7 linked regions of the Sus scrofa genome follow. The protein of the gene in region 1 purifies or fractionates together with the protein of each later gene. This does not show direct contact. Links are inferred from orthologs where the notes say so. Each region holds a gene or a part of one and is shown in the gene's direction. Other genes may lie near its edges. The genes, in order: RPA1, TOP3A, POLA1, HLTF, RFC2, RFC1 and ZUFSP.

What was found.
Region 2: the proteins of RPA1 (region 1) and TOP3A purify together in Homo sapiens (affinity purification with mass spectrometry; 4 studies listed by BioGRID and IntAct, with this or other methods). This does not show direct contact. The link is inferred for Sus scrofa from reciprocal best matches to the Homo sapiens genes RPA1 and TOP3A.
Region 3: the proteins of RPA1 (region 1) and POLA1 purify together in Homo sapiens (affinity purification with mass spectrometry; 3 studies listed by BioGRID and IntAct, with this or other methods). This does not show direct contact. The link is inferred for Sus scrofa from reciprocal best matches to the Homo sapiens genes RPA1 and POLA1.
Region 4: the proteins of RPA1 (region 1) and HLTF purify together in Homo sapiens (affinity purification with mass spectrometry, with the first as the bait; 4 studies listed by BioGRID). This does not show direct contact. The link is inferred for Sus scrofa from reciprocal best matches to the Homo sapiens genes RPA1 and HLTF.
Region 5: the proteins of RPA1 (region 1) and RFC2 purify together in Homo sapiens (affinity purification with mass spectrometry, with the first as the bait; 3 studies listed by BioGRID). This does not show direct contact. The link is inferred for Sus scrofa from reciprocal best matches to the Homo sapiens genes RPA1 and RFC2.
Region 6: the proteins of RPA1 (region 1) and RFC1 purify together in Homo sapiens (affinity purification with mass spectrometry; 3 studies listed by BioGRID, with this or other methods). This does not show direct contact. The link is inferred for Sus scrofa from reciprocal best matches to the Homo sapiens genes RPA1 and RFC1.
Region 7: the proteins of RPA1 (region 1) and ZUFSP purify together in Homo sapiens (affinity purification with western blotting; 4 studies listed by BioGRID, with this or other methods). This does not show direct contact. The link is inferred for Sus scrofa from reciprocal best matches to the Homo sapiens genes RPA1 and ZUP1.

Annotation. Positions count from the first base shown.
Region 1 is NC_010454.4:48,016,152-48,019,651, forward strand, and holds part of RPA1 (replication protein A 70 kDa DNA-binding subunit), read left to right. Parts: intron 1-328; coding exon 329-407; intron 408-1,055; coding exon 1,056-1,164; intron 1,165-3,500. UniProt on the Homo sapiens protein: As part of the heterotrimeric replication protein A complex (RPA/RP-A), binds and stabilizes single-stranded DNA intermediates that form during DNA replication or upon DNA stress.
Region 2 is NC_010454.4:60,454,183-60,457,682, forward strand, and holds part of TOP3A (DNA topoisomerase 3-alpha), read left to right. Parts: intron 1-98; coding exon 99-242; intron 243-329; coding exon 330-500; intron 501-672; coding exon 673-773; intron 774-2,793; coding exon 2,794-2,868; intron 2,869-3,500. UniProt on the Homo sapiens protein: Releases the supercoiling and torsional tension of DNA introduced during the DNA replication and transcription by transiently cleaving and rejoining one strand of the DNA duplex.
Region 3 is NC_010461.5:20,759,674-20,763,173, forward strand, and holds part of POLA1 (DNA polymerase alpha catalytic subunit), read left to right. Parts: intron 1-2,469; coding exon 2,470-2,594; intron 2,595-3,500. UniProt on the Homo sapiens protein: Catalytic subunit of the DNA polymerase alpha complex (also known as the alpha DNA polymerase-primase complex) which plays an essential role in the initiation of DNA synthesis.
Region 4 is NC_010455.5:89,330,215-89,334,429, reverse strand, and holds the start of HLTF (helicase-like transcription factor), read left to right. Parts: upstream 1-1,415; 5' UTR 1,416-1,626; coding exon 1,627-1,646; intron 1,647-2,803; coding exon 2,804-3,011; intron 3,012-4,215. UniProt on the Homo sapiens protein: Has both helicase and E3 ubiquitin ligase activities. Possesses intrinsic ATP-dependent nucleosome-remodeling activity; This activity may be required for transcriptional activation or repression of specific target promoters.
Region 5 is NC_010445.4:11,375,691-11,379,190, reverse strand, and holds part of RFC2 (replication factor C subunit 2), read left to right. Parts: intron 1-1,154; coding exon 1,155-1,312; intron 1,313-1,524; coding exon 1,525-1,590; intron 1,591-2,581; coding exon 2,582-2,662; intron 2,663-3,500.
Region 6 is NC_010450.4:30,562,933-30,566,432, reverse strand, and holds part of RFC1 (replication factor C subunit 1), read left to right. Parts: intron 1-47; coding exon 48-146; intron 147-1,718; coding exon 1,719-1,873; intron 1,874-1,998; coding exon 1,999-2,116; intron 2,117-3,500. UniProt on the Homo sapiens protein: Subunit of the replication factor C (RFC) complex which acts during elongation of primed DNA templates by DNA polymerases delta and epsilon, and is necessary for ATP-dependent loading of proliferating cell nuclear antigen (PCNA) onto primed DNA.
Region 7 is NC_010443.5:44,956,942-44,959,379, forward strand, and holds part of ZUFSP (zinc finger with UFM1-specific peptidase domain protein), read left to right. Parts: intron 1-1,040; coding exon 1,041-1,192; intron 1,193-2,438. UniProt on the Homo sapiens protein: Deubiquitinase with endodeubiquitinase activity that specifically interacts with and cleaves 'Lys-63'-linked long polyubiquitin chains. Shows only weak activity against 'Lys-11' and 'Lys-48'-linked chains.

The DNA of each region.
Region 1 (3,500 bases):
TGTTCCCTCCACGTTCCTTGCATACATTATGTGCCTTGTGTGTTTTTTAAAAATTGATTTTCAGTCAGATTTGTGTCAGGGGAGAGAGAATACAACAATATTGGCAACTTATTCTCGTCTCTGCTGCGTTTAACAGTGTTCTTGGAGAAGAGGTTGGTGGGAGAATCATCACGTCCAATTTTCTTTCCCTTGGATTTAGGTGTCAAGAGAATGGGCAAGCAGTTCAGTTTTTGTTGCGCTAATGGCAAACCCACTCTCCTGCCGCTTAGGTTTACTCGTCCCTGGGGACTGGGCAGGCAGCCTGGCTAATGCGTGTTTTCTCTCCTAGAACATCCGTCCCATTACCACAGGGAACAATCCACCCCGTTATCGACTGCTTATGAGTGATGGATTGAATACGCTGTCCTGTACGTATAATGCGTAAATCTGGGAATTTGTATGTAAATAATATAAGCACACCCAACACTTAGATTGCCGTAATTAGAGCATTCCAGAAGTCTGCACTTGCTTGGCTCTGCCTTCACACAGGCAGAATTGCGGCTGGCAGAGAGCGTTCGAGCAATAGACTGGGTCCAGTGGAAAGCTGCCACTTGGCTTAATTAATTTTCTCTAACTGGTGCTCTGTGTTTTCTTTGATTAATTTCCCTCAGGACGATATTGACATTTAGTGAATATGATGGGTTAGCTGTCCTATACTTGTCTTTCTGGGGTTTTATTTGTATGTTGGAAGCTTTACAGGGAGAAAGAAAATTTGCAGAATATATGCTTGCTCTCTCTAGTCACAAGGTGAAGAACCTAGAAAAAAGATGAGGCTTCGTCATGCAACCTGAATGCTGGAAAAGGTGATTTGGGGCACTTTAGGAAATAACTGAATTTCAGAGTAGTAGCAGATGTTTAATGCGCAGGAAATGGATGCCCTTTTTCATGTGCAGAATCTGGGGGTTTAATTTCAGGAACATGTTTCAGGCATTGTTTTTCTTTGCTGGTACAGGTGTCACCAGCTTTTGTCACAACGGAAATGTTTTCGCGACTAAAGTAATCTCTGTGCTTTGCAGCTTTCATGTTGGCGACACAGCTGAATCCTCTTGTTGAGGAAGAACGATTGTCTAGCAACTGTATTTGCCAGATTAACCGATTTATTGTGAACACCTTGAAAGATGGAAGGTATGTGGTAGGTTTTTTTCCTGCCGCGTTGTTAAAATGGGGACCAATTTGTGAACAGAGAGGTTCATTCAATGCCCAAATTCGATTAGGAATCAAAAAGGCAGTGGTGGGCTTTAGCTAAGAATTTTTAGCTATTGAATTAGGAACTCAGGCTACCAACAACCAGGCACGCCTCAAGAGGAAAGAAATGGAACCAACCTGGGCAGAAAACTAAAGCCGAATGCGGAACTCTTATTTCTAGTCTCTTCAGCAGCACTGGTTTTAGATTCTCTCTTAAAGTACCTTTTGATAAAAAGAGGTCACTTATTAGAGCAAAAAGAGATAATGATGTAACACTGCCCCTTTTTTGCAGTCCTGAATCTTTCATAGCAAAGGCTTTCTTCGGCCAGTAGAGAGTATGCTGAGTACCTACAAGAGGCTACATGTTAGAGATACAGGGGTGACGAGAACTGTTAATCACACCTGAGCAGCCACTGCTGAAATATGACATTCTTTGTTGGGGAGAGGCTTTACTTTTCACTTTTTCCCCTCGAGCTTTTGATTGAGTTATGAAACACAACCCAAACAGGTGAGCAGCCAGTGCGGCCAGCACGCCCATCTTCATGAGGGTATCGATGTATGTTACGTTAGATGTACATTCACTTTTTCTGCTTGTATTTGTTTGATGTATCATTGTTCTTTTGAAACTTTTAACCTCGCTGTTGTTCATCTTGGATGTTTTTTATAAACAGCGTTGAGTTTTAGAACTCCATCTGAGATTTAGTGGGTGAGTTTATTCTGCTTTATTTATTACGGATCTCCCCCACCCCACCCCCCGCCCCAATTTTTTGGTCTTGCCATAGTCTCGCTATACTTTCATTGTCTTTTCCTCCTTTGATTGATTGCATTGCCTTAATTCTTTTTTCCTCTACTCTTTTAAAAGTTGCATGTTCTATGTGTTTTCTTTGTGATTACTCTCAACATTTAAAAAAAAAAAATCCATATTGGAATTAACAAAATTACAAAAATAGTATTTTTACCATCCTCCCAAATAAAGCAAAGGCCTTAACAGGGTCTGTGCTCAGTATTTTCCTTCAGTTTTGTTTTTACTCCCCCCAATTAGCACCTTCTCTTATATAGTCTGTGCTCATTTAGATTTACTCATTGTTTATTCGCTCACTTTTGCCTCTTTGATCACCGGCCTTCCTTTTCAGTTCATTTTCTTTCACGTGAGTTCCAGTTTCTGCTTATGTGGTGGATACCTTTGCTCTTCATAGATGTCTTCGGTTTGCTCTCTTTTCTAGTGTATGCGCTGGATTAATTTAAGATTGTCCAACATATTGTATTGTTCGGTTTTTAGCTTCCTCTGTTCTGTTCCTTGGGTTTTTATTTATTTATTTATTTATTTTGTCTTTTTGTCTTTTTTTGTTGTTGTTGTTGCTGCTATTTCTTGGGCCGCTCCCTCGGCATATGGAGGTTCCCAGGCTAGGGGTTGAATCGGAGCTGTAGCCACCAGCCTACGCCAGAGCCACAGCAACGCGGGATCTGAGCCGCGTCTGCAACCTACACCACAGCTCACTGCGACGCCGGATCCTTAACCCACTGAGCAAGGGCAGGGACTGAACCCGCAACCTCATGGTTCCTAGTCGGATTCGTTAACCACTGCGCCACGACGGGAACTCCCTGTTCCTTGGGTTTTTATAGTTTAAGGATTAGATGTGTAATGATACTGCTTTTCTTCTCTTTTTTCCTTAATGTCTCAAGCTCCCTTTTCTTCTCAATCTCATTTCATTTCATCTTTTGACTTTTATTGAATTCTTAGTCTTATTTGGCAAGCTGTGATTGGGACGTATTCCCTTTCTTGGCTAATGCTTTCTTCTAGATTGGATTCTTAATTGTCTCTGCCTTTTATTTTTATACACTGTGGTGTGCTGGCATTGTTGCTGCGTCATTTCTTTTTATCGTGTTCTTGTTTAATGTGGGCAGTTCCAGCTAGACTTCATATTTGCTCTGACATCGTCTAGGCTGGGTATGTCTCCTTGCCAACCTCCCCACTTGGGACCTGTTATCTTCCACTCCAGGATGCCTTGGAGAGCTCAAGTGGTGCTTTCTATCCTCTTTTCTGTCCTCTAGGGCATGGTTATGGGAGAGGAAAGCTTTGCTGGAGTTGAGTGCAGAAACTCGGGCCCCTTTCTCTCTAGTCATGGGTGGAATTCCCCTCTCGTAGGCTTTGCCTTCTTCCACCACCTCTGCACGCTGATGTGCTGTGTTCCTTCCTACCCCTGCTGAGAACCTGCCTGTGAACAACCAGGTTTCTTCCAAATAGGGCTTTAGCCATCATCCTTGGATCTTTAATG
Region 2 (3,500 bases), about 12 Mb from region 1:
GAAGCGAAGCAGCTTCTCGAACGGGTCCGTCCCTCGTTGCGTGCGGCCCGGGGGTGGTGAGCCGACGGCCCTTGGACCCGCCGCCTCTCTTTCCGCAGTGAAGCCCGACCTGCCGGTGCTGCGAGCCCGTTTCTCCGAGATCACCTCCCGGGCCGTCCAGGCGGCCTGTGAGAACCTCACGGAGCCTGACCAGCGAGTGAGCGACGCCGTGGACGTGAGGCAGGAGCTGGACCTGCGCATCGGTGAGGGGCAGCGGGCTGGCGGGGGGCGCGGGCTGGGGCGTGGACCGTGTCGCTGGATGTGACCGCACCGCCCACCCCTCCTCCCAGGAGCCGCCTTCACCAGGTTCCAGACGCTGCGGCTGCAGAAGGTCTTTCCCGAGGTGCTGGCAGAGCAGCTCGTCAGCTACGGCAGCTGCCAGTTCCCGACGCTGGGCTTCGTGGTGGAGAGGTTCAAAGCCATTCAGGCCTTTGTGCCCGAGGTCTTCCACAAGATCCGAGGTGAGGCGGCCCTTTGTGCAGGGCGTGGGGCCGGGGCGTCCCGGGGCTGACTCAGAGGGCGGCTTGAGTCTCGCTGCCTCTCGGCCCCTCGTCTCCACGTTCAGAGCCCGGGGGGGCTCCCGGGTCGCAGTCACTGGCTCTGACCCTGCCGGACCTCCTCGTCCCCCCGCAGTGACGCACGACCACAGGGACGGCGTGGTGGAGTTCAGCTGGAAGCGGCACCGTCTCTTCAGCCACACGGCTTGTCTCGTCCTCTACCAGCTGTGCATGGAGGTAGGAGGGCTCGGGGCCCACCCCCCCCGAGTCCGCAGCCTCGCCCTCGCTGGCGGCGGGGGGACCCGTCCCTCTCTGAACTGAGCTTTCAGTTTCATCCTGGGTCGTCCCTTGGGCACCAGTCAGACTAGAGCCCCAGGAAAACAGCACTGAAGGTGGGGAAGAAAGGCCTCTGGGACTTCAGGCAGAACCAGAAACACTAGGAAACGTGTGGCTAAGATCCTGCCCGGAGCAGCAGCGCACGCCCACCGGGGGTGGGGAAGGGCCCGCCAGGCCCTTCTAGACCCGGGCTCGGAGCTGGAGGGAGGCTAGACTCCCTCTCCCGCTGGGCGGATGTCGGCTCCGGCCACGTGGACGGCTTCCTGCAGCGGCTGTGTCTGGAAAGGAGGCTGAGGGAGCCGGGGGGCGGGGGCGGGGTGGGCCTGCTCAAGGGCCGGGGACGCAGAAGGGCGCCCCGGCTGACCTGGCAGAGCCCAGCAGGAGGCGGCCACGGAGGGATGAAGGCCTTCGGCCACAGGCCAGCATCTGGTTTCCCCGCAGGCGGCCTGCTTTGCGGTGCTGGTCCGTCACTTTGCTTGTTGCAGCCTGTTTGACCCAGGGCTGTGCACGGCGGGTCCTGACGCACTCAGAGGTGTGTCGTCAGGAGCCCCGGCGGGTCCACTGTGGAGCTGGGGGTGGGCATTGAGCGCCTGCTCCGTGCTGTGCACTGTGTGTTCTGTCTCATCTGCCCCAGGTCGGGGGTGGGGGGGCGACCCATTTTACAGGTGGGGACGCTGGAGACGGTGGAGTGTGGAGTGAGCACAGACACACCGGAGCTCGTGGGGGGCCTCTCGGGAGGCACCCTGTCTCCCCCGCTCTGCCCTGTAACCTGGAGGGTCACACGGCCTGCCTGTTGGTGACCCTGCCGGAGCTGTCTGTCCTGTAACCAGGCCCGCCCTTTGTGTCCTTTGCTGGGATGCGGTGCAGGAGGGCGTGGCTGGGGGACACCTGGAGCTCCTGGCCGGGGCTCCGTCCCCAGTCTGCTTGTGGGGGGGAGATTAGGGTTCTGACGTATAAACCCCTCCATGAGCACATCACCTAAGCTGAGCCCCGCCCATGTGTGTTCTCTCCAAAATGTGAGGAGCTTGGGCTTTTTTCTTTTTGCTTTCTAGGGGTGCACCTGCAGCCCATGGAAGTTCCCAGGCTAGAGGTCCAGTCAGAGCTACAGCTGCTGGCCTACCCCACAGCCACAGCAACGCAGGATCTGAGCGCGTCTGCGACCTGCACCACAGCTCACAGCCACGCCGGATCCTTAACCCACTAAGTGAGGCCAGGGATTGAACCCACAACCTCATGGTTCCTCGTCTGATTGATTTCTACTGTGCCATGACGGGAACTCCTGAGGTTGGTCTTAAGATTAGGGTTCTTCAGTTGTATTATGTAACTTCTGTTTCTAACCCGTATTATTGGATTTAAAACGAAAAATCAGGAGCTCCCATTGTAGCTCCGTGGTAACAAACCCAACTACTATCCATGAGGACTCGGGTTCGATCCCTGGCCTTGCTCAGTGGGTTAAGAATCCGGTGTTGCCCTGAGCTGTGGTGTAGGTCGCAGATATGGCTCAGATCCTGCGTTGCTGGGGCTGTGGTGTAGGCTGGCAGCTCCAGCCCTGATTTGACCCATAGCCTGGGAACCTCCATATGCCACAAGTATGGCCCTGAAAAAAATAAACGAATGAATTAAAAAAACAAAGCCGTGACAGTGAGCAGGTGTAGGTGAGAAGCCACACTTAAGGGGCGCCTGGCTCCAGACAAGGAGCTTTGGGGCTTTTGTGAACTTGCTTTGACCGGGAAGGCAGCACTGGCGTCCGACACCCACCGGGCTCGAGGCCGTCACCCCGGGTGGGAGCAGGGCCTCTGGGGCAGTGCTGCGGGCAGTGCTGGGAGCAGGGCCCCTGCGGGCCATGTGGGGGGCGGTTGCAAGCAAGCCGGGGAGATGCTCCAGCAGGTCCCAGCGGCGCCTGCGTGTTTGGCTTTTCCAGGACCCCAGGGCGACCGTGGTGGAGGTCAGGTCCAAGGCAAGGAGCAAGTGGAGGCCTCAGGCTTTGGACACTGTGGTATGTTCGGGGCCGTGCGGCCGGGGCTGATGTCGTGGTTGGGACTGGCTTTCCGGGTGTCAGGAGGCGTCACTTCTCAGTGCGACACGAGAACGCGCTTGGGAAAAAGAGATGCTGAAGCCCAGGCTGCTGGCCTCTTAGTTACCTCACGACTTCGGGAAACGTGGAGACAAAGCAGCCGTCACTTGCTGTCCTTAGGTCGTTGCTGATGGGGTGGGTGGCTCCCCGGGATCCTTGTTTTTACAGCGTCAGAATTGGAATGGCTAGTTCTTCCCACCCAGGCATCTTTTAAAAATGTTTTTGTTAGAGGTCCCCTCGTGGCTCAGGGGTTAACAATCTGACCAGGAACCATGGGGTTTCGGGTTCGATCCCTGGCCTCGCTCAGTGGGTTAAGGATCCGGCATTGCCATGAGCTGGGGTGTAGGTCACAGACAAGGCTCGGATCTGGTGTTGCTGTGACTGGTGTAGGCTGGCAGCTACAGCTCTGATTTGACTCCTAGCCTGGGAACCTCCATGTGCCGCGGCAGCGGTCCAAGAAATGGCAAAAAGACAAAAAAAAAAAAAAAAAAAAAAAAGTTTTTGTGTAATTTACGTAAATATCACTTAAACAGCCACTATGTGAGCCTCCCCTA
Region 3 (3,500 bases), on another chromosome or scaffold:
ATTCACTCTTCGCTCTCCTGTCCAACTTTCCTTCTGCATTGGCTTCCTCTCGCTGTCTGAATACACCTTGCATTTTCATCCCTTTGTGCTTTGCCTCATGCCTTTTCCTTTGCTTGTGCCGCTTGTCGCTCTGTATTCTGATGGTGAAATTCTGTGTTGGAAACCTCCCCTGTGAAGCTTTCTCTGATTTCCCAGGCAACATTAATGGCTTTCTTTTCTGCTTCCTTAATACCAGGTTCTTACCTCTTACATGGTACCATCTTTATACGATGGTGGGAGCCTCAGGCCTTTATGCTTTCCTTGACTGGGAGTCCCTTGAGGACCAGCAGCTCTGTCTTACTTGTCATTGTACCCCAAACCCTTAGACTGGCACATTGTTGCCTGTGGAGTAAGTCTTTTTGAAGACCTGTAGAATAATTTTGTCAGAATAATCTGATAAAAGAGTCCAGGGCGTCTTGAGGGAATACCCTGAGGCCAACTTTTCCCTCTCAGTGGTCTTGTTCAGTAATCTCCTGGAGCCTTTTTGTGTCAGCCTGCTTATAATTTTTTGAAATCATTTGAGTGACACCCAAGATTTTGTGGCTGTCAGCATTAAGTACCTGCATTCTTTAATTTTTACTTAATGCCTTTCTGAAAATGGATTTAAAAGTCAAATGTGAAAGTCAAACAATAGGCTGAGATGTTACAAAGAGATTCCATTTCCAGAAAGCTAGGGAAAAAAATAGGATCTCTAATTATGCCACACCTTTAAGATATGGTTTTCAACAGTTTATTGCCAGCATTTGGTACATGTCTGTAAATTGCATCTTCTATTTCATTCAAACACTTAGTCAAACAGCTTCATGTTGTTATGAACGTTCCAGTGGGGTTGGAGCTTTTAGGATGCCTGTTATCAATACTTCCCCTTTTCTGTGCTCTTTTTTTTTTATAAAATAATAGCACCAAGTACAATAAGACACTCAATTTCAGACTTATGTGCCAGTCGTGGTGAGCATCAACTCATGGCTGCCAGGCGGCACTGTCTTGCTTGACTTGATTTTTCGCCAGCTGGTATGTGAAAGTCTCCATTCTGTGGATGAAATCTTTTCAGTATGTGTTTATGATGATCAAAAGCATGAATAATTCAAAAGTTGAATGAATGACCACTGAGGCCCTCGGGTACTTCACTAATTTTCCACAAAAGATTTTAATCTTTGTAATTTTTTTTTTTTTTTTTTTTGGCCATGCCAATAGCATGTGGAAGATCCCAGGCCAGGGATCAAACCCAAGCCACGGCAGTGACAACACCTGGATCCTAAACCCACTGTGCCACAAGAGAACTTCTTGATCTTTGTAATTTTTGACTGTCATGCTCTAATGTCGCAGCCAACTGCTCGAAGCCTGGAAATCAGTGGTAGAATCAAGAATCTCCTCAGAGCCATCTTCGTTACATTCTCCTGATTTATCCTTCCTTTGAAATTCTAGACATTTTATCTGAACCTCTTGTTAGGGTATGCTTTACTTCTAAAAATTGTTTTAGAGTTAGTTGCTACTTACTGGCTTACCTTGTTTTATGGTGCTTTGCTTTATTGCAGTTCACAGATACTGTGGTTTTTTTTTTTTTTTTAAACAAATTGAAGATTGTGGCGCCTCCGCATGAAGCAAGTCTACTGGCGCCATTTTCACATTGATGTTTGCTTATTACTTCATTTGTCTGTATCGAATTTTGGTAATTCTCACATTTCAGATTTGTCATTATTTGTTAGAGTGGTCTGTGATCAGTGATCTTTCATGTTACTACAAGTCACCGAAGGCTCAAATGATGATGAGCATTTTTTAGCAACAAAGTATTTTTAATGGAGGTATATACTTTTTTTTAATGACATAAGGCTTTTGCACACATAATAGACTCCAGTATAGTGTAAACATAACATTTATATGCACTGGGAAACCAAAAAAAAAAAAGAAAAAGAAAAAGAAATTCGTGTGACTCACTTTATTGCTATCGCGACACTCACCTTATTGGTGGTGGTCTAGGACCCGAACTTGCCTTTGTGTCTTGCAGAGCGCCTGGTACTTTGCAAAGAGAGGGTGCTCCTTAAAGCCTTTCAAATGTTTATTGATGGAATACAAAATGAATTGTCCTCTTATAGCTACTTATGGGCTATCATCACCAGTGGAAAGGTTACTGATCTCCCTTCTTTAGTGTCTCCAGGGAATATCAGTTGAATTTGGAGTTTTTCTCTTTTTGGAGGACAAAAATAACAGTTGTTGCTTCAGCTGAAAATTTCTGAGGAGCCATGGGAACTGGAGATTCAGTCCTGAGCTTGTAAATTATTTACACCGGAAAAAGTATACATTTGTGTAACATGAACATTGTATACTACATGAACATTGTATATTACTATTGGCTAAAAACTATTGCTTTGTTTTTGAGGGAAGATGGCTGACAGTTTTGTAACATCTCATGCAAATTTGGCTTTTCTACAGCTATGTCAGATTCAGGGAGTCTTGCAGCTTCGCGATCCCGGCGAGAGAAGAAATCCAAGAAAGGGCGACAGGAAGCTCTAGAAAGACTGAAAAGGGCTAAAGCTGGTGAGAAGTATAAATATGAAGTAAGTAACCATTTTTCTTTTTTTTTTCACTTGTAGTTCATCTGTTTCATAGCCTGTAGCTAATCCTTTGTCCACTTTGTCACTCATTAGAAATATGCATTTATTTCAGACTTCTTATAACAGTAATTTTTAAATACTGAGCACATATGGGCATGAAGTAGATTTAGATGATGGGTGATTACTCAACCCTTAGAGTTCCTGTGAGACACTTTACAGATGCTTTTAAAATTTAGAAATTTGGAGTTCCTCTTGTGGCTCAGTGGTAAGGAACCTGGCTAGTATCCACGAGGATTCGGGTTTGGTCCCTCGCCTTGCTCAGTGGGTTAAGGATCCAGCATTGCCATGAGGTGTGGTGTAGGTCGCAGACTTGGCTCAGATCCTGAGTTGCTGTGGCTGTGGTGTAGGCTGGCAGTTACAGTTCTGATTTGGCCCCTAGCTTGGGAACTTCCACATGCCTTGGGTGTGGCCCTAAAAAGACAAAAAAAAAAAAATCTGGAATTAAAGTAACTATATATTTTTCATTTTTAAGCACACTGCATCTCTGCTAAGTTCCATAGCTTTGTTGGGGGAACTTAGAGATGCCTTTACTTTACTCACAAGGTATTGAACAGTCTAGCTGAGCTCTGCTTCTTCTTAGAGAGAATTATTCTTCCTCATCTCTTATGCGTGGGGAGCGTGGGAGGACTGGACCTTCCCTCTGCTGTGTACTGCGTGTAGGATAGAATGTGATGACCTTTTGGCTCTTTCCCTCTACCCATTGTTAATGGGCTGCAGGTAAAAAAAGCAGAGTGGGAGTTCCCGTCGTGGCTCAGTGGTTAACGAATCCAACTAGGAACCATGAGGTTGTGGGTTGATCCCTGGCCTCACTCAGTGGGTTAAGGATCCAGCGTTGCTGTGAGCTGTGGT
Region 4 (4,215 bases), on another chromosome or scaffold:
TATATTGGTACATTTGCAATTTTATCTTTCAGTCTGACGAACATAATTTATTAACTTTACACATAAATCATTTTCAATTTAGGCATTTACTGCCGTATTTTCCAATAGATCGGTTATTTAGATCTGGCACATCAAAAACTGAACAATATTGCCTTTTGCCTCATACTACTTCCAGAAGAAAGTAAAATAACTAAAATAATTTGAAATGCCATTCTCTTCATCTTCCTTCTATTTAGTGAAATGAATAAGTTGCTGCAAGTTTCTTTTCTCATTCTACTGTAGGTTCATATTTACAGATTGTGATAGTTTAAGTTAATCAACAAATGCCTCTTGAAAAACTGTTTCATTGACTGCCTGTCATACCCTGCTGATGGACGTGTAAAATGGACCACTCTTCGAAGGGCACGGGTCAACACTAACCCCTTTCTCAAATACATTTCCTCTTTGGTCCACAAGCAGTTGTGTTACAGTTATATCAAGTCCAAAGCACAGGTCAGGGCCACCACCAGCTTGTTACCCTAGGGCTGCTGCTGCACAAGTTAAAAGGCTCCCAGGGGACAGAGAACCAGCCCTGACAGCGCCTGCGCTGCAGCCGGCCCACTCGCCCACCCACTCAAAGCCGAATTCTCCTGAGTCTCCTCAGACTCTCAAAAGAGGGCGACAGAGCCCTTGGGAGTGCCCCCTACAGTTCCCCACGGAAAACCAACTTCTTCCTGCCCCGCAGGGACAGCAGCTTACCCCCAGGGGAAACTTGGCCACTTCCAGCAGTCACCAATAAAGCTCTTGTGCTGTCATCTCATTTTATGGCTTTCCTCTAGTAGAATGAAAAATTTCTCTTAAAAAAGAGGTGGGGGGTAGGGACTCCATAAATCGAAACTGCAATTATGCTCTCTGAGGCCGGTCTGTCTCATTGGTTAGCTAGCGGGGTTTAAAATGCACATTTTAAGGGCAACTACACGGGTTCACCACAGAAGATGAAGGACAGGATCTCGTTGGTAGCTCCAGGGCTCTTAAAGCCGGGAGCTTATTCAGTGGAATACCCTACTATATGTCACATCAGATGAAGAGAAAATTCGAGGTAGGCTGAGGTAGAGCCTGAAGAATGGGGCTGAGGCTTAGGGCTTGAGGGAAACAGTGCAAAAGACAGTGGTCGCCCTCTGCTTGAGGCGGGGAATCAATCAGAAACGCGAACACCGTAAGCACCGTAGTCCGCCTGCTGGGGCCGCGTGGCTTTCCCGCGCGACTAGCTTGGGGTTGAGGGAGAACCCGGATGGAACCGCCCCTGCAGCGGGGACAGCCCCCCAAGTCTTTGAATCGCTGCGCGGGGCGGAGCTGCCCACCCCTCCGTGCCCTGATTGGTTCGTCTGCGTAAACTCCTCCTCGGGATTGGAGGTAGGCGGTGCCAGTCACAAAGCGTCACTTGTCTCTCAGATTGTTGCTGGAAGGGGTCGGCGTCGACGTCTGACTAGGCTCCCGGCGTCTCACCTTTCTGGAGTGCGCTCTTGCTCGCGGCTCTAGAAACCTGTCCCCGGCTTCTCGGCCGCGGGCCCTGGAAGGAGACTTATCGAGGCCGCTCGAGAACGATCCCGGGCGCCCAAGCGTTCCCCTCGTCACCCACCCAGCGCCATGTCCTGGATGTTTAAGAGGTGAAGGGGGCGGAGGGGGTTGGGCACCGGGGGTAACGGCCTGGCGGCGTCCCTAGATGAACCTGACCTTCCCCGCGTTTCCTTCGCGTTACCCGTGCGAGCTGTGCAGCCAGTGTTCGTCCTGCTGGCGGCTTTTAATAGCTGCGGGAGAAAGAAATGCACAGTTTTGACTGGCGAGGGGAGGCTCCTCAGGCGAATCTCATGCCAGGGCTTGGGGAAATTTCTGTCAAGGGCTGTAAGGGGGCCTGGCTCAAAGCCACACTCTTAGGCCGGGATTGTGACCTGCAAGACACTCATCAGATACCCACTGTGCCCTCGGCATTGTGCTCGGCAGAAAGGGCCGGATAAGACAGCCCGTATCCTCAAGGAGCTCACCGTTGATGTGCGTGCACAGACGTGCAAATATCTATCTGCAGGGGAGCCAGAAGCAGTATGCGCGACGTGCAAGCCAAGCGCTGGGGAAATAGCGTCAGTCCGTTCTTAGGATAATAGAAGCTTCCTGAAAGCCCCCTCTCCGGCTTCCTCTCTTCATTGTCCAAATTGGGTTACATACCCGTTCCAGAAACAGCTCTCCAATTATCTATGGGGGAATTGAGGTTACCCTTAAACCAAGGGAGGGGAGGCTTGATGTCAGCTTCCCATTGTGACATGGTTTGGATACCTGAATAAAATGCGGGGTCTCTTCGAGGAGAATTCACGTAATGGATGTTGGATGTATTACTTGTAAAGTTATAAATGGCTTCATGTATAGATAGTCCTTTATTTGCAAGTCTCTTCCAGCTCATTCTCTATTGAAATTTTGGCATATAATTATTTGCAGACATCACACACATTTTACTTTAAATAGGTGATCATCACTAGGAAAGAGGTTTGTGAACCCTTATTGGGGTTTTCACTTTGAGTACCTGTGGGCAGAAGAGACATTATTGAACAGGTAGGTAGGGTTTCTAGAAACCTGTACTCACTTTAATCCCTGCTTTAACCAGAGGAACTATATATATTAATCTTCATATAGCCCTTCCCACATGAGATTTAATTTTTTGAAATGAAGTGTGAGAAAACAATTGGCCTTTAAGTGTGGTATAGTCTTTGAGAAATATTTGGTTAAATATTGTATTGTTTTCCTGTTTTTTGTTTTTGTTTTGTTTTGTTTTAAGAGATCCTGTTTGGAAGTACTTGCAAACTGTCCAGTATGGAGTCCATGGAAATTTTCCACGCCTCTCATATCCAACTTTCTTTCCACGTTTTGAATTCCAAGATATTATTCCTCCAGATGACTTCCTAACGAGTGATGAAGAGCTAGATTCAGTTTTATTTGGTACTTTGAGAGGTCATGTAGTTGGACTACGCTATTACACAGGAGTAGTGAGTATAATATTAGATACTAAGTTTATATGATGTCATCTATTAATGTAGAAAATAAGAGTGAGAAGGTGATATGTGCAGTAAATATCTTAATTTAAGTAATTGAAATATATCTAGGGAAGAGATAACAAATACCTAATTACTTACATTCTTTTACATTTATATCATGGTCACAATATACAAAGCACTGTTTCCTGTATGGTCTCATTTGATCACTAGAGTGTCTCTGAGGTAGTAGGACATCTATTATCCCTTTCTAGAACTGAGTAAAGGTAGCTCAGGATGGTTAAATGATTTGCATAGAAAGTACAGATACTATGTGGTAAATTTGCAAAATAACTTCCAAGTCTCTTGCTTTCTCCTTTCCTATCCTTCAGCACATTTTTACATTTTAGTATTTTTAATGTAGGAAGTACTAGACAAGAGAATTGTCTACTTTTAGGTCTTTTTTTCCTTTCTATAGTAAAACTATTTCCAATTTTTCTTCCTGCGTTTATGTTTCTGTATCTCTGTTTTCTGCTCTGTGTATGTGAGAGAGAGAAAACAGAGACAAAGAGAAAGCAGTTGTCTTTGTTATGGTTGTCTAGTATGCTCTGTGTTATTTGGATGATATATCTACTTTTATTTTTATTTATTTATTTATTTATTTATTCGTCTTTTAGGGCACCTGCAGCATATGGTGGTTCCAGGCTAGGGGTCGAATGAGAGTTGTAGCTGCTGGCCTACTACACAGCCACAGCAAAGCCCAGATCGGAGCCACGTCTGCGACCTATGCCACAGTTCACAGCAGCGCCAGATCCTTAACCCACTGAATGAGGCTAGGGACTGAACCCGCAACCTCATGGTTCCTAGTCAGATTCATTTCCAGTGCACCACAACGAGAACTCCTACTTTTTTTTTTTAATTATGAAAAATTTCAAACATGCATAGAATTAGAATGATACAATGAATTTTCATATACTTATGATCCATATTCAGCAGTTAGACAAGTTTTTTGCACATTTGCTCATCACTTTCTTTTTCTTTGGTACTAAAAATTCCAGCTGCATCACTTTACAACATTTAAGTGTGTACCTAAAAAATTTAGAAATTTTCTTTCTCATTGTTATATTTAACAAAATAATACTAGTTTCTATTACACCTAATAACTAATCCATAATAACTTATCTTGATTGTTTACAAATGCCTTTTTATAATTAATTTT
Region 5 (3,500 bases), on another chromosome or scaffold:
AGGTGACTGCAGGTTTCTTCAAGGCACATAAACTCACAGGAACATGTCCCTTGAAAGTGTGTGCGCGCAGAGAAGGGGCGGTCACTTCAGTGCGGAGTTACTTAAACGGGAAGAAGCTTGGGGAGATCCGCCAGGAGAGTGCAGGTCAGGTGTTCGGGAGGCCCTGGCAGGGTTAGGAGAGTGGAGGTGGGTGAGGTTCCAGGGAAATTTTGTGAAGGAGGATCAGAGGTGGACTGTACTGTGATGTCGGAGGCGGTTGAAGGTGATACCTCTGGGCGGGCAGAGGCGACAAAACATCCTGAGGAAGGCCAGCGGGGCAGAACAGGGTCTCGGGGGGACCCCCCTCCTCCCCCAGGACTTGAAGACACTTGTCGGTCTGAACCGAAGGTCAGAGACAGCTTCCAGAATTCTGCATTCGTCTGTCTGTAGTTCTCAGGGGTATCAGAGCCTCCCGTGGGACCTTAAGCCCTGAAGGTGCCCTGTTCTAGGCCGGCTGGGTTGTGACCTGCCCAGAAGGGCCAGCTGTACACACATGCAGTGATTCTGAGGTCTGGCCGGGCCGGCACTGACCCTCCTGTGGGCTGTGGCATGTGGCTCTCTCTATCTGGCGGATCTTTTCTCCTTTGGGAAGCCATTGCCAGCCAGGGTCAGCCTGGGCAGTGCTGGCTGAGGCCTCTATTGGTTGGTATTTTGAAATTTAGCCCTAGAGTTCCCGTCATGGCGCAGTGGTTAACGAATCCGACTAGGAACCATGAGGTTGCGGGTTCAGTCCCTGCCCTTGCTCAGCGGGTTAACGATCCGGCGTTGCCCTGAGCTGTGGTGTAGGTTGCAAACGCGGCTCGGATCCCGAGTTGCTGTGGCTCTGGCGTAGGCCGGTGGCTACAGCTCCGATTCAACCCCTAGCCCGGGAACCTCCATATGCCGCGGGAGCGGCCCAAGAAATAGCAACAACAACAACAAGACAAAAGACAAAAAAAAAAAAAAGAAATTTAGCCCTGATGACCAGGTCACGCTTAAGTCTCTGCCAGGTTGGGGGAGTGGTGCCAGCATGGCTGGGCCGCATGGTTCGTGCACCTGCTCCCCAGTAACTAAAGGACCAACAGGGTTACGCCAGCCTTGGCCCGGGAAGCCTGACTCTCCCCCATCTTATCCAGAGCCCATCCAGTCCCGGTGTGCCGTCCTCCGCTACACCAAGCTGACCGACGCCCAGATTCTTGCCAGGCTGCTGAACGTCATCGAGAAGGAGAAGGTGCCGTACACGGATGACGGCTTGGAAGCCATCATCTTCACCGCCCAGGGCGACATGAGGCAGGTTCGTGCCCCCACCCCGGCTCGGCGCCCTCAGGCTGGCCACTCCCCTGGTTTAGATGGGGGAGAGGGTAGTGACTGCTGCACGGAGAGGAGTGTAGCCAGACGGGACCACAGACCCAACACGTTGGTAGGGAGCCCGGCCTGAACCCCAGAAAGGGAGACGGGGAGGACAGAGGTCGAAGGTCACCCTTGCGTGCTTCTGTTCCTTGGCAGGCCTTGAACAACTTGCAGTCTACTTTCTCGGGATTTGGCTTCATCAACAGTGAGAATGTGTTCAAGGTAAAGGCTGTGCGGGCCTCACTGTCCACAGGGCCAGTGTCGGCCTGGGGGGCGGAGCCAGGTGGGCTGCGGGGCCCGCCCCAGGGAGGGGCTCAGGGAGCTACTCTGCCCCGCCCCCCGGGGAGTGGGAGGGACTTAGCCGAGGGATGTGCCCCCGCCCCTGCAGCAGGCCCGGTGCCCTCTGTCCTCTTGGGTCCTCATGACCTCCCTCCACGCAGGTGTTCTTAACATTTTGCAGCAGAGGAAACTGGCCTCGAGATCACACTAAGGCTGGGGCCCACCCAGGACAAAGCTAGTTTCTATTCCAGGAGGGAGATTGCCCCCCAAACCTCCCAGTTCTTAAGTGGAGTCTCAGAACCCACTGGGTGAGTGATACTCCCAGTGCTCTAAGCAACTCACGACTTTAAAGCTGCCCCTGGAGTTCCCGTCATGGCACAGTGGTTAACGAATCCAGACTAGGAACCATGAGGTTGCGGGTTCGGTCCCTGCCCTTGCCCAGTAGGTTAACGATCTGGCGTTGCTGTGAGCTGTGGTGTAGGTTGCAGACGCGGCTCAGATCCCGCGTTGCTGTGGCTCTGGTGTAGGCGGGTGGCTACAGCTCCGATTGGACCCCTAGCCTGGGAATCTCCATATGCCGCGGGAGCGGCCCAAGAAATAGCAAAAAGACAAAAAAAAAAAAAAAAAAAAAAAAAAAAAAGCTGCCCCTGTGGTGTAGACTCCTCGCTGGCTCTTACTCCATTTTGCACTTGAGAAATCTGTAATGATGCTCTCGGAGGCTTGTCCTCTCTGCAGCAGGTCTCCACCGAACTCTCTTTGGTGACAACTTGGTGTTGAGAGAGGTGTTCCCAAAACCAGTTCTCTTGGCCGGAGAACTCAAGGCAAACAGCCAGTGCAGTTGGCCACATAGGTTGCCCAGACGTGGGTCTGCCAGGGCTCGCCCTCAGATGGTCCCCCGCAGCCCCTGACCAGCCTTTCTGTTCCGTCTGGCCAGGTCTGCGACGAGCCCCACCCCTTGCTGGTGAAGGAGATGATCCAGCACTGCGTGAGCGCCAACATCGATGAGGCCTACAAGGTCGGTCCCCCTCCTCCCTGAGCAGGGCAGCGGGGGTGCTCCCTGTGCTGGGGACCTAGCTCCACTGCATTGCTTTTTGTTTTTGTCTTTTTAGGGCTGCACTTGAGGCATATGGAGGCTCCCAGGCCAGCGGTCGAATCGGAGCTGTAGCTGCCAGTCTACACCACAGCAACAGAGGATCCAAGCCGTATCTGTGACCTACACCACAGCTCACGCCAGATCCTTAACCCACTGAATGAGGCCAGGGGTTGAACCTGCATCCTCATGGATACTAGTCAGATTCGTTTCCACCGAGTCATGACGGGAACTCCTCCACTGCATTCCTAAATGAGGCTGGGCGCTGGGCACGCTCTGCAGGTCAGAAAACAGACTCAGAGGCCAGACCCCATGCTCTAAATCCCACTGCTTAAACTTAATATACTTGCATCCCTGGCCTGGGGAACATCTGCACGCAGCAGGCACAGCTTAAAAAAAGATTAATAGAGCCCTCTCTCTTCCTGAAGAGCCTGGGAATGGGCGCTCTGGCCCCAGAGCCTGGTCTGGTGAGCCGATTCCAGTGGGCATTTTTGGGGTTCAGGTGATGCTCCAGTCCCCGTGGGCGGCAGTGCTGTGATCTGGGGCTGTTGGTCTGATCACAGCCCATGCCCTCCCCCTCCCGCCACCAAACTAAGCTAGGAGTTGACTGGGTTTAGGACAGGGCCAGACCTCACATGAAACCGGGGACAGGGTACTCGGCCTGAAGGAAGCCAAGCAAAGGCACAAGCAACCCCCGCCCCCCAGAGTCTGCTATCGGAGTTGGGCGGCTGAGGGTTGGAGCTGGGCTGGGGTTGAGAAGGCA
Region 6 (3,500 bases), on another chromosome or scaffold:
GCAGTATTTCCCTATCTTTGACAGTGTCTTACTTGTGATTCTTTTAGGTTTTACATAATCTGAGTATGTGGTGTGCACGAAGTAAGGCACTAACCTATGACCAGGCTAAGGCTGATTCTCACAGAGCCAAAAAGGATATCAAACTGGTAAAGTAAATTTCCGTTTCTTAGTTCCTTAACCAAAGCACTTCTCCTCCTGTCAGTATTAATAAAAATAGTTATCATAGTTCCTTGAGACACCTATGGATATTTATAGCAAGAGGTTTTTTTTGTGTGTGGGGGGTGTTTTTGTCTTTTCTAGGGCTGCACCCACGGTATATGGAGGTTCCCAGGCTAGGGGTCTAATCAGAGCTGTAGCCACCAGCCTATGCCAGAGCCACAGCAACGCCAGATCCTCAACCCACTGAGCAAGGCCAGGGAACCCACAACCTCATGGTTCCTAGTCGGATTCGTTAACCACTGAGTCACGATGGGAACTTCAGCAAGAGATTTTTGACAGCTGCTAAAAGTATTTTTGATTCAAGTGACTTTTTTCTTAAGGACTGTCAATGTAATTGTAAATTTTGAGAAAGGGACAGTTTAAATCATGCTCATGCCTTCGTAGTTATATAATGGCCTTTCTAGAATCCCTTATGTATAGATTTCATGTTTTGAGTGCTTTGTAGCTGTTCAGAATAATCTTGTTTCAAATGGTTTATAGTTTAATGACTCCCTGAAGCTAGAGTAAAGGTCCATATTATTTCTGTGTTCTGTTTCACCTAGTCACCAGTCAGAATTCCTCATTGCCATTAGAGCAATGATTAAACAGTGTTCCCCCCCCTCCCTCTTTTTAAAAAATCAGTAAACGTTTTTAGAGTTGTTTTAGGTTCATAGCAAAGTTGATATTTCCTGTATATCTCCTATCGCCAGTAGAATAGTATTCCCCACTACCAACATCCTCCATCAGAGTGGTACATCTGTCACAACTGATGAACCCACACTGACACATCATCACCATAACCCAGAGTCCATAGTTGAACATTAGGGTTTGCTCTTGGTCGTACATTCTCTAGGTGTTGAAATATACATGTGTAATGGCATGTTTCACTGTTGTAGTATCATATAGAACACTTTCACTGCCCTAGAAATCCTCTTTGCTTTGCCTGTTCTTCCGCCAGCCCCTGGAAACCACTGTTTTTTTTTTTTTTTTTTTTTTTTTAACTGTCTCCATAGTTTCACCTTTTTAAGAATGTCACATATTTAGAATCCTGTATGTTGCTTCTTCTGATTGGCTTTTTTCACATAATAATATACACTTAAAGTTTCTCCATATCTTTTCATGGCTTTATAACTCATTTCTTTGTAGTGCTGAGTAATGGTCCCATGTCTGGATGTACCACAGTTTATCCATTCATTCACCTATTGAAGGGCATCTGATTGCTTCCAAATTTTGGCAGTTTTCAGTAAAGCTGCTATAAACATTCAGGTGCAGGTTTTTTGTGTGTATATGTTTTCAGTTCATTTGGATAAATACCAAGGAGCACAGTCATGAGATGGTACAGTAAAATTATATTTAGTTTTGTAAGAAACTATCAATTTGTCTTCCAAAGTGACTATACCATCTTGCATTCTTACCAGCAACGACAGAGAGTTTCGGTTGCTCCACAGCTTAGCTGTCATTTGGTGGTGTCAGTGTTTGGATACTGGCCATTTTACTAGTATGTCCCTCTCTCTTTTTAGGGCCCATTTGATGTTGCCCGAAAGGTGTTTGTAACTGGAGAGGAGACTGCTCATATGTCACTTATGGACAAGTCGGATCTCTTTTTCCATGATTATTCAATAGCACCGCTCTTTGTCCAGGAGAACTACATTCACGTGAAGCCTGTAGCTGCAGGGTGAGTGTTCAGAGCTAGTGAGGGGTAGAATTAGTACCCTCCCAACCTTGCAAAGGCCAGATACCTGGGAGGGAGGGGTGTGGAGTGTGGACAGTAGTGTAATCCAGACTGGTTTATTCCTGCAGAGGTGACATGAAAAAGCACCTGATGCTTTTAAGCAGAGCAGCAGACAGCATTTGTGATGGTGACCTAGTGGACCGTCAGATCCGCAATAAGCAAAACTGGAGCCTTCTGCCCACACAGGTAAGCACAGGGCTCTCCTTAGAGCACAGACCCTGCTTTAGTTACAACAAGATAGGTTTTAGCTCCTGTAATTATTTGAAGTATCAGATAAACCTTATAGGCAAAAATTCTGTTAGAGATTAAAATACCTTGTGGTCACTGTTGACTTTTTTGTTTGTTTTGTTTTGTTTTTGTTTATCTTTTTTTACAATTGCACCTGTAGCATATGGAAATTCCCAGGCTAGGGGTTGAATCAGAGCTGCTACAGTCACAGACAACCCCAGATCTGAGCTGCATCTGAGACCTATGCTACGGCTTGCAGCACCTCCACATCATTATCCCGCTGAGCAAGTCCAGGGATTGAACCCGCATCCTCACCAACACTGTGCTGGGTTCTTAACCTGCTGACCCACAATGGGAACTCCCCATTTCTTAACATTCTTTATTTTTGAATGTTTTTATGTAAATGGACATAAGGAAATGGGAATGTTAGATTTTAGTCATAACTAAGATGGTGAGTCAAAAGTTTCATTTGCCCTGTTTTGCCTTAAGTATCCATTTCTTTTTTTGTCATTCCTGGCTTTCCCAAATTGTTACCAAGTAGCTCATCCTTGAGGAAATCAGGTCAGGAGCTGCTTTTCTGATACATAAATTCTGATTTTCTGTCTTCTTCTGTGCTAAAGAGGCAGCTTTATATCAGACCTTTTATTTAGGTTGATACCTTTTAAACAATAAAGAGTTTTGAAATTAGGAGTGTTATTTGTTCTTGAGTTTTGCATATTGATAGAGTATTATTGACCTGATTAACAAGTGAGGGACTTCTGGAAGTTTTGCTTTTCTTTTAAAGAATCTTTTATGTATTAAAAGTGTTCATTTTTATTTCATACCCAGTAATTATACCCATTAGAATTTGTCCTAAAGGAATAATGTTAAACACAGGATAAGCTTAATGTGTGAAAATACTCTCTAAAGCATTAATTCTTCTTTTATTTTTTAAAGTGCACATACCCGCAGCATATGGAAGTTTCTAGGCCAGGGTTTGAATCTGAGCCACAACTGTGACTTACACCATAGCTGCAGCAATGCCAGATCCTTTAACTCACCGTGGTGCTAGGTTAGGGATTGAACCTGAGCCTCTGCAGTGACCTGAGGTACTGCAGTTGGATTCTTTTTTTTTTTTTTTTTTTTTTTGGTCTTTTTGCCATTTCTTGGGCCGCTCCCATGGCATATGGAGGTTCCCAGGCTAGGGGTCCAATCTCAGAGCTGTAGCCACCGGCCTACACCAGAGCCACAGCAACTCGGGATCCGAGCCGCGTCTGCAACCTACACCACAGCTCACGGCAATGCCGGATCGTTAACCCACTGAGCAAGGGCAGGGTCCGAACCTGCAACCTCATGGTTCCTA
Region 7 (2,438 bases), on another chromosome or scaffold:
CTGAGGCTAAAGATAGTAACCATTATAGTTTGGGTGTATTTGGAGACTTTCTGACCAGGAGGGACAAGGATAAGATATGTGTGCTGTATTGTAAAGTGAAGAATAAAGCTTTTAATTGCTTTACCTTATACTAAACCTTTTCAAAATTGTTGCTGAAAAGTGTAAATAGTGCTTCTGGTTAAAATAATTTGGTTTATTCACAGTTGACTTCCTTTTGAGAAAACAATACCATCATGGTCTATTGCCAAATAGAAGATAGATGTATAGATGCAGGTACATAAAGATTTTTTTCTATGGTCTTTATGGGTAGTCTTTTCTTGTCTATTATTAGATAAGAAATTTTAGAGAGCTGGCAGGAAAAATATTTAGGATATTTTTGATAGCTTCAAATGATTATCGAGGAATTATAATTAGAATTCAGTTTCTAATTGATCATCTGGTTTAGAGACTTTAGAATAAAATTAAAGATTATATGTACACTTTTGAAAATCAAGTATGATCTCATTTACTACTAACATAGATTTTCTTTTTTTTTTTGCTTTTTGCCTTTTCTAGGGCTGCACCTGGGGCATATGGAGGTTTCCAGGCTAGGAGTCTAATTGGAGCTGTAGCCGCTGGCCTATGCCACAGCCACAGCAATTCAGGATCCGAGCCGCATCTGCAACCTACACCACAGCTCCTGGCAACACCAGATCCTTAACTCACTGAGCAAGGCCAGGGATCGAACCCACAACCTCATTGTTCCTAGTCGGATTCGTTAACCATTGTGCCACGATGGGAACTCCTACTACTAATATAGATTTTATATGTCAGGAAATTTTTATAACTTGTGTCAGTCATCAACCTTATTAATTTATTTAAACTATTTTCTCATGAAATAAGTTTTTCAGATAAAAGAATTTTTATTTTCTTTCTTCTTACAAAAATAATACTGAGATAAAATTAATCCTAAATTAGGGATTTGTTGTGTGACTCCACTGATGAAAATGTTTTTTTTTTTTAATATTTTCTAAGTAACCCCTTTTGTCAATTTTTTATAGGTGTCGTATTATTGACTTTCACAAGTCGACTGGTCCTTTGGGTACACACCCTCGCTTATTTGAATGGATATTGAACTATTATTCTTCAGAGAGGGAGGGGAGTCCAAAAGTAGTGTGTACATCTAAACCTCCTATTTATCTTCAGCATCAAGGTTAGTATAACTTACAGATATTAAGTGTAACTTACAAGACAGTATCTTTATAAGACAATTAATTGGCTTAAGCCTCAGAATAGGTTAGGATTCTAATGAGAGGAGAGGAGTATTATGACATCACTTTGATTTTTAGTTATATTGTCATTACAGTACATTCCAGTAATGGATGGTATCCTTGGCGTCTTCGGGGCCCCCTGGTCCACTTGGTTCACTCTTCTTTTATTGTTCATCCCTTACCTTTTTCAGGTCTTTACCTTACTTCAATGAGGTCTTCCCTAACCGCCTTTGTAAAAATTTCTTCTCATTATCCTTTCACCCTGTAGCACTGGCATGTCCTATCCCTCTTCTTTACTTTATTTTTCTTCATCTAACATTATAAGTATAAGCCTCACTTACCCTGTTTATAAAATATTTCTTCTTTGTTTGTTTTTTTGTTTTTTAGGGCCGCATCTGTGGTATATGGAAGTTCCCAGGCTGGGGTTGAATCAGAGTTGCAGCTGCCAGCCTACACCACAGCCATAGCAACACAGGATCCGAGCCTTGTCTGTGACCTATACCACAGCTCATGGCAAACGAGATCCTTAACCCACTGAGCGGGCCAGGCATCGAACCTGCATCCTCATGGATACTAGTAGGGTTTGTCACCTGCAGAGCCACAACAGAACTCCTAGAGTGTTTCTTCTTATTAGAATATAAGCTCTATGAAGGCAGAAGTATTTGTTTGGTTTACATCTATACTACTAATGGCCTGGAGTAGGGCCTGGCATATGGATATTTGATATATCTTGTTGAATGAATTATTTGGATTGACAGGAATAAGAAGTAAATGTTAGGAATTTCATTGTTTTGGAATACAAGCTATAAAGGTTAAGCCCTTGCCATTGAAATTCTAGTATATATAAATTTACTCTTGTTTACCTTTTGTTGTCCAGTAGGTAAATTTCAAATCCTTTCATTTGAGATCATTTGAATTAGAAGGACTAAGGGATTTGAAGAGCAAAACTAAAATATATGGCATAGTAGAAGTAGAATTTTTTTTGCTATGAAGCCTTTAGAAAACTAAAATTGGACAAGGGAAAACTGAAGGTTAGAAAGTGGAACTAAACTCTTGTGTCTTAGAACTGGAAAAGCTCAGATAACCTATATGTCAGAGGGACTGACTATATTTATATTCTAAATACACATTTGCACACACACTATATACGGAAAGTTTATAGTATGTCTATATGTGTGTGTGTGTGTG